2 linked regions of the Macaca mulatta genome follow. The protein of the gene in region 2 purifies or fractionates together with the protein of the main gene of each other region. This does not show direct contact. Links are inferred from orthologs where the notes say so. Each region holds a gene or a part of one and is shown on either strand. Other genes may lie near its edges.

Evidence for each region.
Region 1: the proteins of PLOD1 (region 2) and HNRNPH2 purify together in Homo sapiens (affinity purification with mass spectrometry; 3 studies listed by BioGRID and IntAct, counting the BioPlex papers as one, with this or other methods). This does not show direct contact. The link is inferred for Macaca mulatta from reciprocal best matches to the Homo sapiens genes PLOD1 and HNRNPH2.

What each region holds. Positions count from the first base shown.
Region 1 is NC_133426.1:108,300,695-108,307,672, forward strand, and holds the end of HNRNPH2 (heterogeneous nuclear ribonucleoprotein H2), read left to right. Parts: intron 1-2,536; exon of another isoform or gene 2,537-2,557; 5' UTR 2,558-2,610; coding exon 2,611-3,960; 3' UTR 3,961-4,777; downstream 4,778-6,978. UniProt on the Homo sapiens protein: This protein is a component of the heterogeneous nuclear ribonucleoprotein (hnRNP) complexes which provide the substrate for the processing events that pre-mRNAs undergo before becoming functional, translatable mRNAs in the cytoplasm. Binds poly(RG).
Region 2 is NC_133406.1:228,788,198-228,795,626, forward strand, and holds the start of PLOD1 (procollagen-lysine,2-oxoglutarate 5-dioxygenase 1), read right to left. Parts: upstream 5,082-7,429; 5' UTR 5,025-5,081; coding exon 4,949-5,024; intron 1-4,948. UniProt on the Homo sapiens protein: Part of a complex composed of PLOD1, P3H3 and P3H4 that catalyzes hydroxylation of lysine residues in collagen alpha chains and is required for normal assembly and cross-linkling of collagen fibrils.

The sequences.
Region 1 (6,978 bases), on a different chromosome or scaffold from region 2:
CCACTCAGAGTAACCACTAATATGTTCTTTCTAACTTAAAAAAAATCCCAGTACAGCAAATTTAAAGAATTAAAACTGTATAGAAGTATATAGGGTAAAAAGCGAAAAGCCCACTTCACTCCCCCTACCCTTCAGTTCTCTCAAAAACAAGTTTGCTTCCAGATCTTCTTTTATTTATTTACATACGTATATACATGCATGCTAATCTTTTACTATAAGTAGGATCATACTATGTATGTTCTTTCATTTAGTGTATTTTGGAGATCTTTCTGGGTCAAGGCAGATAGATTTTTTTTTAAATGGCTGCATTGCATTCCATTTTAAGGATAAGGTATAATTCATTCAGCCATTCCTCTAATGATGGCTATTTAGCTTTCCAATGTTCTGCCTTTACTAACAGTGCTGCAAGGAACATTCCTAAGTATTTCTGTTGACTAGATTCCTGGAAGGATTCTAGCAGTGTCAAAGGGTATGGGAATATGTATTTTGTACATAGTTGAGATTGTAAAGCAGCTGTGCTCTTGGGTCACTTATAATTATAGCATAAGTAATTTCTCATGTTATTAAATATTTTTGTAACTTTTAAAATTAAATGCATAATATTCCAGTTTTCTTAATAAAGTACTTTTCAAAGAATATATAGCTCCATAAATCTTTGTCTGAATTTCAGATCATCTCCTTAGGGCACATAACTGAAATGTATTTGCTGTCAAAAGGCGTGATACATATTATCAAATTGCTTTCAGGATATAGTGGGATTTATCAAAAAGGAAATAGTTTATATCAATTACCACTCCTCTAGTAGTGTATTATTAGTTTGTGAACTCTGCATAGCACTGATTTACTGTCACCGTTTAATTTCCATAATCTTGATGGGTGAAAAATAATGATTAGTTCTGGTTTTAACTTACTGGAAGATTGATTAAATTTGAACATTTCCCAGATTGCTCTCCTGTATCCTCCTATACCTGTATTCTCTCATACTTAATCTGTTATCAAGTCCCGCAGATTCCACTTTTTTTGGTATGTGTAGATATAGCTTTTCTCCATTTTACTCCTGTTGCCTTAGGCGATTCCTTTAACGTATATTTAAGAGACAAGTTCTAACTAATCTCCCTAGTTCCACCTCTGAGTACCACACTGTTGCCGGGGTGATCTGTCTGAAAGAGTTTTGGTGAAGTCACCCCACAAACTCCCCGGTTTAAAAGTCTTAAAAGGTGCTTAGTGTATATAGTGTGTATATACTTCTATACAGTTTTAATTCTTTAAATTTGCTGCACTGGGATTTTTTTAAGTTAGAATGAACATATTAGTGGTTACTCTGAGTGGTAGGTTTATGGATTTTCCATGTTATTTTTCCAGTTTTTTTATGCAGTCTTAACTAAGCACTGCATAAAAGTCTTTGGGATCTGATCTATGCCTTGCCAGCCTTTTCTCTTGCTTTTCCCTCTCCTATTTGTGCTTTATCATAATTTTAAAAAATCGTTTATGGATCCCTGGGCAGGTTAGTCTGTTTCATTTAACCATTTGACCTCCAACCAATAGAACTGATCAACTAGTCCCTCCTTGATACTATGCTTATACCCCACCCAGAGGGTCATGGCAAGTATAATGTATATTTGCATTTACATCTTTAATAATGATATTTGGTGCTCCTGTAGGATCATAAGCCCTTTCTGGGCTTATTGATTCTTGTATGCCAGAGCTGAGTATTGGACATGGCAACTAAAAAATATTTCTAAAATGAATGTGTGAATTCCCAATAATGTCTTTTTTTCATTTATCTCTGAAGCCCAAATATTTCCCTGATTTTATTGATTTGCATACATTTGTATATAAGGAGATTATATAAAGAACGTATATAACCTGTGTTTTGTTTGTGTTTTAATGTTTTAATTGTTGTTTAATCTTTTGATCTAGTGAAGTTTTTTATGTGTGTATATTCAGATATAGCTATCTTTTATTTGTTGACCTATCCCACTGATTTGTTGATGTTATTTTATTTATTTATTTATTTTTTGAGACTTAGTTTCGCTCTGGTGGCCCATGCTGGAGTGCAGTGGCGTGATCTCGGCTCACCTCCACCTCCTGGGTACATAAAAGTGGTTTTCCTGCCTCAGCCTCCCAAGTAGCTGGGATTACAGGCGCCTGCCACCACGCCCAGCCAATTTTTTGTATTTTTAGTAGAGACAGGGTTTCACCATGTTGGCCAGGCTGGTCTCTGACCTCTAGGTGGTACACCCGCCTGACCTCAGGTGGTACTACTGACCTCAGGTGGTACACCCGCCTCAGCCTCCCAAAGTGCTGGGATTACAGGCGTGAGCCACCACACCCGGCCGATTGCTATTAATTTTTAATGGTATCCAACATGTAATAGGCATTGAATAAATAACTTAAAAAATGAATGAGTTAAAAATTTGGTGAACTCTTTGTTTATACAGACATCTTACAGAAAAGCTGTCAGCATAGTTGAATTTTCTATTAATAGTTTGCTTTTTTATCTTACTATATCACGGGCATTTTTCCATGACAGTAGTCTTCTAATTTTTTTTTTCAGCTACACTAAAATTGCATTGAGCCAAACTTGCCACCAAGAGCCCAACAGTCACCATGATGCTGAGCACGGAAGGCAGGGAGGGGTTCGTGGTGAAGGTCAGGGGCCTACCCTGGTCCTGCTCAGCCGATGAAGTGATGCGCTTCTTCTCTGATTGCAAGATCCAAAATGGCACATCAGGTATTCGTTTCATCTACACCAGAGAAGGCAGACCAAGTGGTGAAGCATTTGTTGAACTTGAATCTGAAGAGGAAGTGAAATTGGCTTTGAAGAAGGACAGAGAAACCATGGGACACAGATACGTTGAAGTATTCAAGTCTAACAGTGTTGAAATGGATTGGGTGTTGAAGCATACAGGTCCGAATAGCCCTGATACTGCCAACGATGGCTTCGTCCGGCTTAGAGGACTCCCATTTGGCTGTAGCAAGGAAGAGATTGTTCAGTTCTTTTCAGGGTTGGAAATTGTGCCAAATGGGATGACACTGCCAGTGGACTTTCAGGGGCGAAGCACAGGGGAAGCCTTTGTGCAGTTTGCTTCGCAGGAGATAGCTGAGAAGGCCTTAAAGAAACACAAGGAAAGAATAGGGCACAGGTACATTGAGATCTTCAAGAGTAGCCGAGCTGAAGTTCGAACCCACTATGATCCCCCTCGAAAGCTCATGGCTATGCAGCGGCCAGGTCCCTATGATAGGCCGGGGGCTGGCAGAGGGTATAATAGCATTGGCAGAGGAGCTGGGTTTGAAAGGATGAGGCGTGGTGCCTACGGTGGAGGGTATGGAGGCTATGATGACTATGGTGGCTATAATGATGGATATGGCTTTGGGTCTGATAGATTTGGAAGAGACCTCAATTACTGTTTTTCAGGAATGTCTGATCATAGATATGGAGATGGTGGGTCCAGTTTCCAGAGCACCACAGGGCACTGTGTACACATGAGGGGGTTACCTTACAGAGCCACTGAGAATGATATTTATAATTTCTTCTCACCTCTTAATCCCATGAGAGTACATATTGAAATTGGACCCGATGGCAGAGTTACTGGTGAGGCAGATGTTGAATTTGCTACTCATGAAGATGCTGTGGCAGCTATGGCAAAAGACAAAGCTAATATGCAACATAGATATGTGGAGCTCTTCTTAAATTCTACTGCAGGAACAAGTGGGGGTGCTTACGATCACAGCTATGTAGAACTTTTTTTGAATTCTACAGCAGGGGCAAGTGGTGGGGCTTATGGTAGCCAAATGATGGGAGGGATGGGCTTATCCAACCAGTCTAGTTATGGAGGTCCTGCTAGCCAGCAGCTGAGTGGTGGTTATGGAGGTGGTTATGGTGGTCAGAGCAGTATGAGTGGATATGACCAAGTTCTGCAGGAAAATTCCAGTGACTATCAGTCAAACCTTGCTTAGGTAGAGAAGGAGCACCAAACAGCTACTCCATATATAAAAGCTGTACATTTGTGGGAGTTGAATAGAATGGGAGGGATGTCTAGTATATCCAGTATGATTGGTAAATGGGAAATATAATTGATTCTGATCACTCTTGGTCAGCTTCTCTTTCTTTATCTTTCTTTCTCCTTTTTTAAGAAAACAAGAGTTAAGTTTAACAGTTTTGCATTACAGGCTTGTGATTCATGCTTACTGTAAAGTGGAAGTTGAGATTATTTTAAAACTTCAAGCTCAGTAATTTTGAACACTGAAACATTCATCTAGGACATAATAACAAAGTTCAGTATTGACCATAACTGTTAAAACAATTTTTAGCTTTCCTCAAGTTAGTTATGTTGTAGGAGTGTACCTAAGCAGTAAGCGTATTTAGGTTAATGCAGTTTCACTTATGTTAAATGTTGCTCTTATACCACAAATACATTGAAAACTTCGGATGCATGTTGAGAAACATGCTTTTCTGTAAAACTCAAATATAGGAGCTGTGTCTACGATTCAAAGTGAAAACATTTGGCATGTTTGTTAATTCTAGCTTTTTGGTTTAATATCCTGTAAGGCACGTGAGTGTACACTTTTTTTTTTTTTTTTTTTTTTTTTTTGAAGGATACGGGACAATTTTAAGATGTAATACCAATACTTTAGAAGTTTGGTCGTGTTGTTTGTATGAAATTCTGAGGCTTTGGTTTAAATCTTTCCTTGTATTGTGATTTCCATTTAGATGTATTGTACTAAGTGAAACTTGTTAAATAAATCTTCCTTTTAAAAACTGGAAAAAATCTTGTGCTGATTGATTTTTATTATGTTCTGTCATATGGGCACGCTGATTGACTTTATAATTCCCTCAAAATTAAAATTTTTAATTTTAAAATTATAAACAATATATTTAGCATCTTTATATGTTCATTGTTGCATATATCATTAATTATTTCTAAGATATATCCCTAGAAATGGGATTGCTGAGTCAAAGATACACTCATTTTTAAGGCTTCTGATTTGTGTTACCAGCAAGATTCTGGTACTTTATCTTTTTACCTGGAGTGTGTGCTTTATTTTCCCCCTTATGCCCTCCTTATTGATGCACATTATTCTTTGTGATCTTTGCCAGTCTGTTAGTTGAGAAATGATATCTCATTGCAATTTTAATTTGTATTTTTTTGATTAATATTAAAGTTGAACATTTTCTTCTTTTTTAAAAAAACTTACCATGTCTACAGGACTATTGAGCTACTTTTGGAGCCACTTACCAAGATAGTATTCTCTAAAATCCAAAGAAGTGAAAGCGAATAAATAATCCTTTGTATTTCATCACAAACTAGAAGGCACCTTTGTATGTTAAAAAAGAAGTAGGCTTACAATTATGTGTCAAAAACAAAACATAAAAAAGAAGCAGGCTTATGTTAAGGAAATAAATTGTCTCCTCCATGAATTCATTAGGAGATTCTCTAAACACTCTCAGGTGTATTTTAGGGCATCTAAAGCTTATCTTAAACCAGCGTTCTCAAACTTTTCATGTGCATCAGAATCATCTGCAGGGGTTGTTTAAACATTCATTTCTAGGCCCCATCCCTAGAGTTTACAGTTCAGTAGTTTTGGGATGTTGCTTGAGAATGTGCTGATACTGCTGGTCTCAAGACCATGTTTTGAGACCCATCACAGTTCCCCAAACAACTTTAAGGAGCAGCTTCCTTTATGATCCCTGATCGCCTCCCCTTTGTTCCCATAACAAGTAGTTTAAGTTTTCTATTAAAGTCCAAACCACATGTTTACAATACCTTGCACCTCTCATGAGGATTCTGAGCACCTGTGGCATTGTGTGCTGATGTCTTAGATTTTTGTCTGGATCACAGTGGTCATTAACAATTCCACCCCTCAATGACTTTAAGACCCCAATGTCCCTCTGATCAGTACCAACTGTATCTTGAACTACAGATCTCTTTGTAGTTTCACTGACCCCTTGGGAACTGTATTGCTATACTTGGGCTGTTCAGAGCTTGGGACCCAGAGAAATGAGATGGGAGGCAAATACCAAGTTGGTATTACCTGACTCCATTTCATTCAGGAAATGAAAATCAATTCTGGAAAATCATTCAAGCTGAAGATGCAGTGGGACGTGATTGAAATTCTTTGATGACTTCTAATTTTTATCACAGCTTTCAGGAGAGCAAGAAACCCATTTTGACTCCTATCATGTTGAGCCAGTCCTTGTCCAGGAAGCCTTTCTCAGAGGGTAAACAAGTAGGTGTTTTTGCCTTCCCAGGCTACTTAGTTAATTTTCCAGAAGTTTCTCTAAGTCTGAGCAAAGATTCTCAAGTTAGCCACTAGATGGCACCAAATCCCAGGAGACAATGGAGGGCTCCTTGTGATCTTAAATGTTCACTTACTCTTCTTCGCTGGATAAGAAAATTCAGAAGGGCTCTGGGGAGCAAAGGAGAGAACCTGGAGAAGGTCAGTGGTCAGCACTAGAGGTTCCAAAGGGACAGCAGTATAGCTGGTGTGCACACGCATGCACACACACCACCACACGTGCTCCAACACTCACATCTAACACTACTACCCAGGAAAGTGCCGGGAGGTAGAGTGGGCAGCCCACCCACAACACCCCCCAAACACTGAGTCAGAGGATTTATTTTCAACTGCGTGTGTGAGCTATTTGGCAGGATCAGGCAGAAAATTTGCAGCCACAATTATCACGGCCTAAGAGTATCGGATGGCTTGTGCCAGTGGTTCTCTGGGTGTGGTGCCCAATCAGTAACAGCATGAACCTCCACCTTGTGAGATATGCAGATTATTTTTTGCCCCCCCGCCCCACCCCCTTTCCCCCAACGACTGAATCAGAAACTGGGGGTGGAGCCCAACAAGCTGTGTTTTGTTTTTTGTGTTTTTCTGAGACAGGGTCTCGCTCTGTTGCCCAGGCTGGAGTGCGGTGGTGTGATCTCGGCTCACTGCAGCCTTGAATTCCAGGCTCAAGCGATATTCCCACCT
Region 2 (7,429 bases):
CTGAAAATACAAAAATTAGCCGGGCATGGTGGCGGGCACCTATAATCCCAGCTACTCGGGAGGCTAAGGCAGGAGAATTGCCTGAACCCAGGGGGCAGAGGTTGCAGTGAGCTGAGATGGTACCATTTCACTCCAGCCTGGGTGAGCGAGACTCCGTTTCAAAAAAAAAAAGAGAAAGAAAAAGAAAAGAATATGTGGACTGAGGGTGAGTGCTTGGTTGGGACGTGCCTATGTGATGAGCTCCTGGAAGAATGGGACCTTCTGGGCACCCCTGGTTTGACTGTGCCAGCAGATGCCCCCTCCTCCCCAAGCAGTCCCAGCCCAAGGCGTGGGTGGTCACTGTGTGGCCTGAGTCAAAGCACAGTCATGACACACCCAGTCTGCTCTCTGGGGAGGCGGGAATGAATGAAGACCTTCCGCCCTCCCCCCTCCCCCATCCTTCATCCCCACCCCAGGCTTGAACGGAAGCCAGGAACAGGGTCTGGCAGGAACTAGGGATGCCCAGCACCTGGGAGCCAACCTTGGCCTCCCCCGGGCCAGCTGCCCACTTAGGTCTCCCCAGACCCGGCCCCACCCCCACACCATCCAGTGCAGCCTGCCTGACTCCCGGGACCCTTCCGTTCTCTAGTAGGGAACAGCATGACCTGAACGCCCAGCTGAGCCTCTGATCTCTGCAGCTGTCCTTCCCTCACTGTGGCCAAACCAAGGCCTACAGGGAAAGGCAGGAGCTGGAGATCTGCTAAAAGTTTCTGCAAACGGGAGGAAGGGCCGTGGTACATCTGGCCTCGGCTCTAGGGACATCTGCCTGTTTGGATGTTGCCTTTTATTCCCCCAGTTCCCTGTGATGGAAGATGTTGCTTTGCTGAAGCCTCCTTGTGTCTCCCATCTTGTTCTGGAAGCCTCCACAGGATGGCACAATATCTCTTCCCTCAGACACGGGGTGTCTACTGAGGCGAGGTGCTCTATACCCCCCTCCGACTGGGAGCCCCCTAAAAGTGAAAACAGTCCATGTTTCTCTCCATGCACCAAGGCCATGGGTTTTGGGTGAGGGGACAGACAAGCTGCCGACAGCACCCCACCCACCTCACTCCCCAAGACTCCACAACAAATCCCCTCCCCTACTCTGGCTGAATCCACCTCAGTAGCTGACCCTCCCATCCACCTGCCAGGGAAAGGAAAGAGCTGGCCTCTCTGGGGGGCTGCTGGGGTGCCCCCCACCAAACACATACACTAGTCAGTGGGCTGCTTAGGCAATGCCTGCAGGGAAGATGAGCAATCCACTCTGTCCTGTCCAGCTGGCTGAAGGTCACGCCTCAGCTGGGTCTGGGGGAGCTGAGCAGGCTCCCCCAGGCAGCATTTCCAGGCAATAGCACCCCCTTCCCATCCAGAGGTGCAGAAATGAACAGTAGATCTGAGTTCCAGACAACAACCCCACCCCCAACCAGCTCTGGCAACGAGAGACCAGATGTTTAACCTTCCAGGGCCTCAGTCTTCCCATCTCCAAAATGGGGTTGATGATTCCTTACTCATCAAAGGGATCCTGGCCAGGCATGGTGGCTCACGCCTGTAATCCCAGCACTTTGGGAAGCCGAGGTGGGCAGATTGCTTGAGGTCAGGAGTTTGAGACCAGCCTGGCCAACACTGCAAAACCCGTCTCTACTAAAAATACAAAAATTAGACAGGCATGGTGGCACATGCCTGTGATCCCAGCTACTTGGGAGGCTGAGACAGGAGAATCGCTTGAACCCTGGAGGCGGAGGCTGCAGTGAGCTGAGATCGTGTCATTGCACTCTAGCCTGGGCAACAAAGTGAGACTCTGTCTCAAAAAAAAAGAAAAAAAAAAAGAAGGAAAGAAAATGAAAAATTGAAAAAAAAAAGGAAAACAGGTAAGGATTCAAATGGAGAAGGGAAGCAAAGGCGCAACTCAGACTGGCCTGACATTAGCCCCAGGCCTGGGGATCCGCTCTCTCGTGCATCAGTGAGCACAGATGTGCTTACTATCTACCAGGTGCTCTACCTGGGTTACATCAGCAGCACACTAATCCTGTCCTCCGCCCACAGCAGCACCCTCCGTGAAGGCTTCCTCAGATCTGCTCTGCCCTCCTCCTGTCACTTGCTGGGGATCAGGGTGCCTAACGCCCTGTCATCAGTCTGGTCCCTCTACAATTCAACTTCCCGGGCTTCATCGTGGGCAGCTAAGGTTTCTCTCCTGGGATGGTCTGGGATGCAGGCAGCCCATGTCAGCAGAAGCAGGGGTATCAAAGGCCCAGAAAACAAGGCCACAACAGGGCTCCTGGCCAGTGAGGGGACCCAGGCCGAGAGCCCTTTGCACGGCCCGGTGGTCAGCGTTTCCGTCACTGGACTTTCTGAGCTGTTTTACTGCCCTGCTGTAAGCCAGCAGCCCTGGGCCCGGGAGAGAAAATGCCCTTTGCCGAGGGCCTTTCATGGGCCAGGCATTGAGCTGAACTCTCCCCAGCTTCATCCCCTGAAATCCTTGTTAGAACTCCAGGCGTGAGGTAGTATCACCAGGTCTTGCAGGCTAGAACACCAAACCTCACAGAGAGCAAGCAGCGCCGGCTTTACCACTGGGAGACGTGGGGCCTTGGGCACAACCTGGCCCAAGGGAGGTACTCAAGAAATGGCAGTTCCTGGCCGGGCGCGGTTGCTCACGCCTGTAATCCCAGCACTTTGGGAGGCCGAGGCAGGTGGATCACCTGAGATCAGGAGTTTGAAACCAGCCTGACCAACATGGTAAAACCCCGTCTCTACTAAAGATACAAAAATTAGCTGAGCGTCGTGGTATCTGCCTGTAATACCAACCACTAGGGAGACTGAGGCAGAAGAATCGCTTGAACCTGGGAGGCGGAGGTTGCAGTGAGCCGAGATCGCACCATTGGACTCTAGCCTGGGCAACAAGAGTGAAACTCTGTCTCACAAAAAAAAAAAAAAAAAGAAAGAAATGGTGGTTCCTGGCTGGGTGCAGTGGCTCCCGCCTGTAATCCCAGCACTTTGGGAAGCCGAGGCAGGAGGATCACGTGAGGTCAGGAGTTTGAAACCAGCCTGGCCAACATGGTAAAACCTCGTCTCTTCTAAAAATACAAAAATTAGCTGGGCATGATGGTGCAGGCGTGTAATCCCAAACTAGTCTGGAGGCTGACACACGATAATTGCTTGAACCCAGGAGGCAGAGGTTGCAGTGAGCCGAGGTCACACCACTGTACTCTAGCCTGGGAGACACAGCAAAACTCTGTCTCAAAAAACAAAAAAAAACCAACAACAACAAAAAAAGAAAGAAATGGTGGTTCCCATCCCTGACCCAAAGACCCAAGGGTCCCAGAACCCAGGATCCTTCTAGTGGTACAGTTTCAGGTTCTCCAAGAGGGTAGGCTGAAGGAGGAGAACGCCACGGAAGCTACCGTCAGTTCTGCTTGGCTTTGCTGGGACTGTCTGCAGTCTATGCCCTTCTCGGGACAGCCCTGCAGAGGGCCCATGCCAGGGAGGGCTGGGGAGGAGGGAAGCACCCACTCAGGACAGTGGGACACACACTGCAATCCAATCGGCCTTGAGGAAGTAGAAGGAGTGCTAGACTGGTGCCCAGCTGACCTCGGACCAGCCACCTCTGTCTGGACCACCCTGGACAGTCACTTCATCTGTCTGGGCCTCAGTTTCCTCAAGTATAAACTGCAGAGAGGGCCAGGCGCGGTGACTCACACCTGTAATCCCAGCACTTTGGGAGACCAAGGTGGGCAGATCACCTGAGGTCAAGAGTTCAAGACCAGCCTGGTCAACATGGTGAAACCCCATCTCTACTAAAAATACAAAAATTAGCCGGCATGGTGGCACATGTCTGTGATCCCAGCTACCTGGGAGGCTGAGGTACAGGAATTGCTTGAACCGGCTGGGTGTGATGGCTCACGCCTGTAATCCAAAGACTTTGGGAGGCCAAGGCAGGCGGATCACGAGGTCAGAAGTTCAAGATCAGCCTGGCCAGCATGGTGAAACTCCATTTCAACTAAAAATACAAAAATTAGCTAGGCATGGTGGCGTGTGCCTGTAATCCCAGCTACTTGGGAGGCTGAGGCAGGGGAAACACTTGAACCCGAGAGGTAGAGGTTGCAGTGAGCTGAGATTGCACCACTGCACTCCAGCCTGGGCGACAGAGCAAGACTCCATCTCAAAAAAAAAAAAAAAAAATCGCCTCTACCTGGGAGGCAGAGGTTGCAGTAAGGCGAGATCACACACTGCATTCCAGCCTGGGCGACAGAGCAAGACTCCGTCTCAAAAATAAATAAATTAATTAAATAAAATAAAAAAATAAACTGCAGAGAGGAAGACCACCCTGGCAGGGGCTCAGCAGACCACAGGGGACATGGGTGAAAGCACAAACTGCTCCACAAAGTGAGCCACACCTTCTACCCCCATCCCTCCCCTGTCCCCCTCAAGACCCCTCACTCCCATGGTCATGAGGCCTCCTGGCTCTGGAACCAGACACCTGGGTGGGTGGGGTAAATCCTGGTTCCAAGGCCCACAAGTTGTATGATCTTGGGCAAGTGAATGAACTCTGGAGCCTCAGTTTGCCCAGCTGGAAAACGGGGATAATAGAAGGAAACACTTACCAGGGTAGCAATCATGCCTAACTGATGCCTTGCCCATAGTGAGCACTCCGCAGAATAGCCATTGCCGGTTATTATTATGAGAACTATTATTATTTGAGCCTTTCTGTGCTGAATGGAACTCAGCTGTCACCCTTTCTTTCCCGAAGGAGGAACCGCAGCCCCAAGAGGGGAAGTGATTTGTTCAAGTCACCAGGGAGTAAGTGGACGAGGAACCGGAACCCAGACTCCCTCTCCAGCCCAGGCCTCCCATTCAGGTCGTTCCCAGGGAGGCAGCCCGGGACCAGACCTCCCGCCCGGATCCGCGCTCCCGCCCCCGGCCTTCGCTCCCTCACCCTCCGGCTTGGCGTCGCCCTTCGCTTCAGCCAGCAGCAGCCAGCCCAGCGGGGCCAGGAGCAGCAGGGGCCGCATGGCCGAGGTATGAGGATGATCGGCCGACCCCGGCGGCGCTCGCAGGGCTGGAAACTTTGCGACGGGGCCGCAGGTCCCGCTGCCACGCACTGGGCCCGCCCCGGGGGCGGCAACGCCCCGCCCCTCCACGCCCTCCCCACCGCCTTCCCCGGGGGGAGGGTTTTTCTGCAGATGTGCCCAAGCCCTGGCCTCTCCCTGTCGGGGCAGCTCCCACCGCCTGTCTGTGCAGCTCCCGGGACTTCTGCCAGGCCCTGCCTCCTCCTTCCCTTCTCTGGGGGGTTCACTCCGACTAGGAAGAGGGCGGTGAGAGGAGGGCGAGGCCACGATTTCTAGACCCCAGGTTCTGGGCCGACGCTCCATGGCATCGATAACCGTGAGCCCCTGTTTGCTCGCCTGAAAAGTGGGGCTTATGATAGCGTCTGTTCATTGGGTCCTGCACGGGTTAATGGCGATACCTGTAGCGCACTTAGAGCAACCCCAGGTCAAGCTCCAAGGAAGTCAGTTTTCATGATTTCATTAGACCTTCCCCAAACCCAAGAGGTGAGGGTGGGCAGGGATGCGTTCAGAGACACAGACACTCCTACGTGGCCCACCCAGGCACTGGAAATGCAGGAAGCCCGTCTCCATTCTCACCAAAAGGCTATCACTTGATCTACCTTTGTGTCCCTGGGAGGCAAACCTCTGAGCCAAGGAAAGTCTCGCTTCTGAGGTTTTTTTGTTGTTGTTTTGTTTTGTTCCATTTTTTTCAGGCAAAGTTGCGTTCAGTTGCGCAGGCTGGAGTGCAGTGGCATGATCACCACTCACTGCAGCCTCAACCTCCCGGGCTCAAGTGATCTTCCCATCTCAGCCTCCCGAGTAGATGGGATCACAGGCCTGAGCCACCATCCCTGGCTAATTTTTCTACTTTTTTTTTTTTTTTTTTTTTTTTTGAGACGGAGTTTCACTCTTGTTAGCCCAGGCTGGAGTGCAATGGCGAGATCTCCGCTCACTGCAACCTTTGCCTCCCGGGTTCAAGCGATTCTCCTGCTTCAGCCTCCCGAGTAGCTGGGATTACAGGCATGAGCCACCATGCCCAGCTAATTTTGTATTTTTAGTAGAGGCGGGGTTTCTCTATGTTGATCAGACTGGTCTTGAACTCCCGACCTCAGGTGATCTGCCTGCCTTGACCTCCCAAAGTGCTGGGATTACAGGCATAAACCACTGCACCTGGCCAATTATTCTACTTTTTGTAGAGACAAGGGTCTCCCTATGTTACCCAGGCTGGTCTCGAACTCCTGGACTCAAGGGATCTTCCTGCCTCCCAAAGTGCTGGGTTACAGGCTGAGCCACCACACCCTACAGAGATTAATTGTTAAATGAATAAACGAATCAGTGAAAGTTTTTAGGGCCTCTTCACAGATGCCCAAAGCCCAACAAACAACTCAATAGTCTCTAGAGTAAGGGCTTCTGGACCAGATGTCAGACAGGGGCCGCCACCTCTGAACAAAAATCCTTCCTTCCTTGGAAGAAACCTCAGACAGAGGCCAGGCACGGTGGCTCACGCCTGTAATCCCAGCACTTTGGGAGGCCAAAGCGAGTGGATCACAAGGTCAGGAGTTCAAGACCTGTTTGACCAACATGGTTGAAACCCTGTCTTTACTAAAATACAAAAATTAGCCAGACTGGTGGTGCGTGCCTGTAATCCCAGATACTCAGGAGGCTGAGGCAGTAGAATCGCTTGAACCCAGGAGGCAGAGTTTGCAGTGAGCCAAGATTGCACCACTGCACTCCAGCCTGGGCGATAGAGCAAGACTCTGTCTAAAAAAAAAAAAACCTCAGACAGGGACCCAGGAGCCCTTTTCCCAGCTAATTAGGCTCCAGAGGAGTGGGTGGCAGGTGCAACCCAAGGCTGGCAGGGGGCAAAGGGGTGGGAGAGAAGGAATGTCACGAATGTCAATGGACGACATAGAGCAGGCTATGCATCAGTGCTGGGAAAAGATTTAAATCAACAGCATTCAGATGGGCTGGGTGCGGTGGTTCATGCCTGTAATCCCAGTACTTTGGGAGGCCAAGACAGGTGGATTGCTTGAGCCCAGGAATTCAAGACCAGCCTGGGCAATGTGGTGAAACCCCCTTCTCTACTAAAAATACAAAAATTAGCTGGGCATGGTGGCATGTGCCCATAGTCCCAGCTACTCAGGAGGCTGAGTGGGGAGGATCACTTGAGCCTGGGAGGTGGAGGTTGTAGTGAGCCATGATCGCACCACTGCACTCCAGCCTGGGCAAGTGAGTCAGACCCTGTCTCAAAAAAACAAACAAACCAAAAAATAAAAATAAAAACAAAACAGCATGCAGATACTGCAGCCAGGGAAATACACTACCCGTATGATGTTAAGTGGAAAAGCAGAATATACAGTATGGTTCCA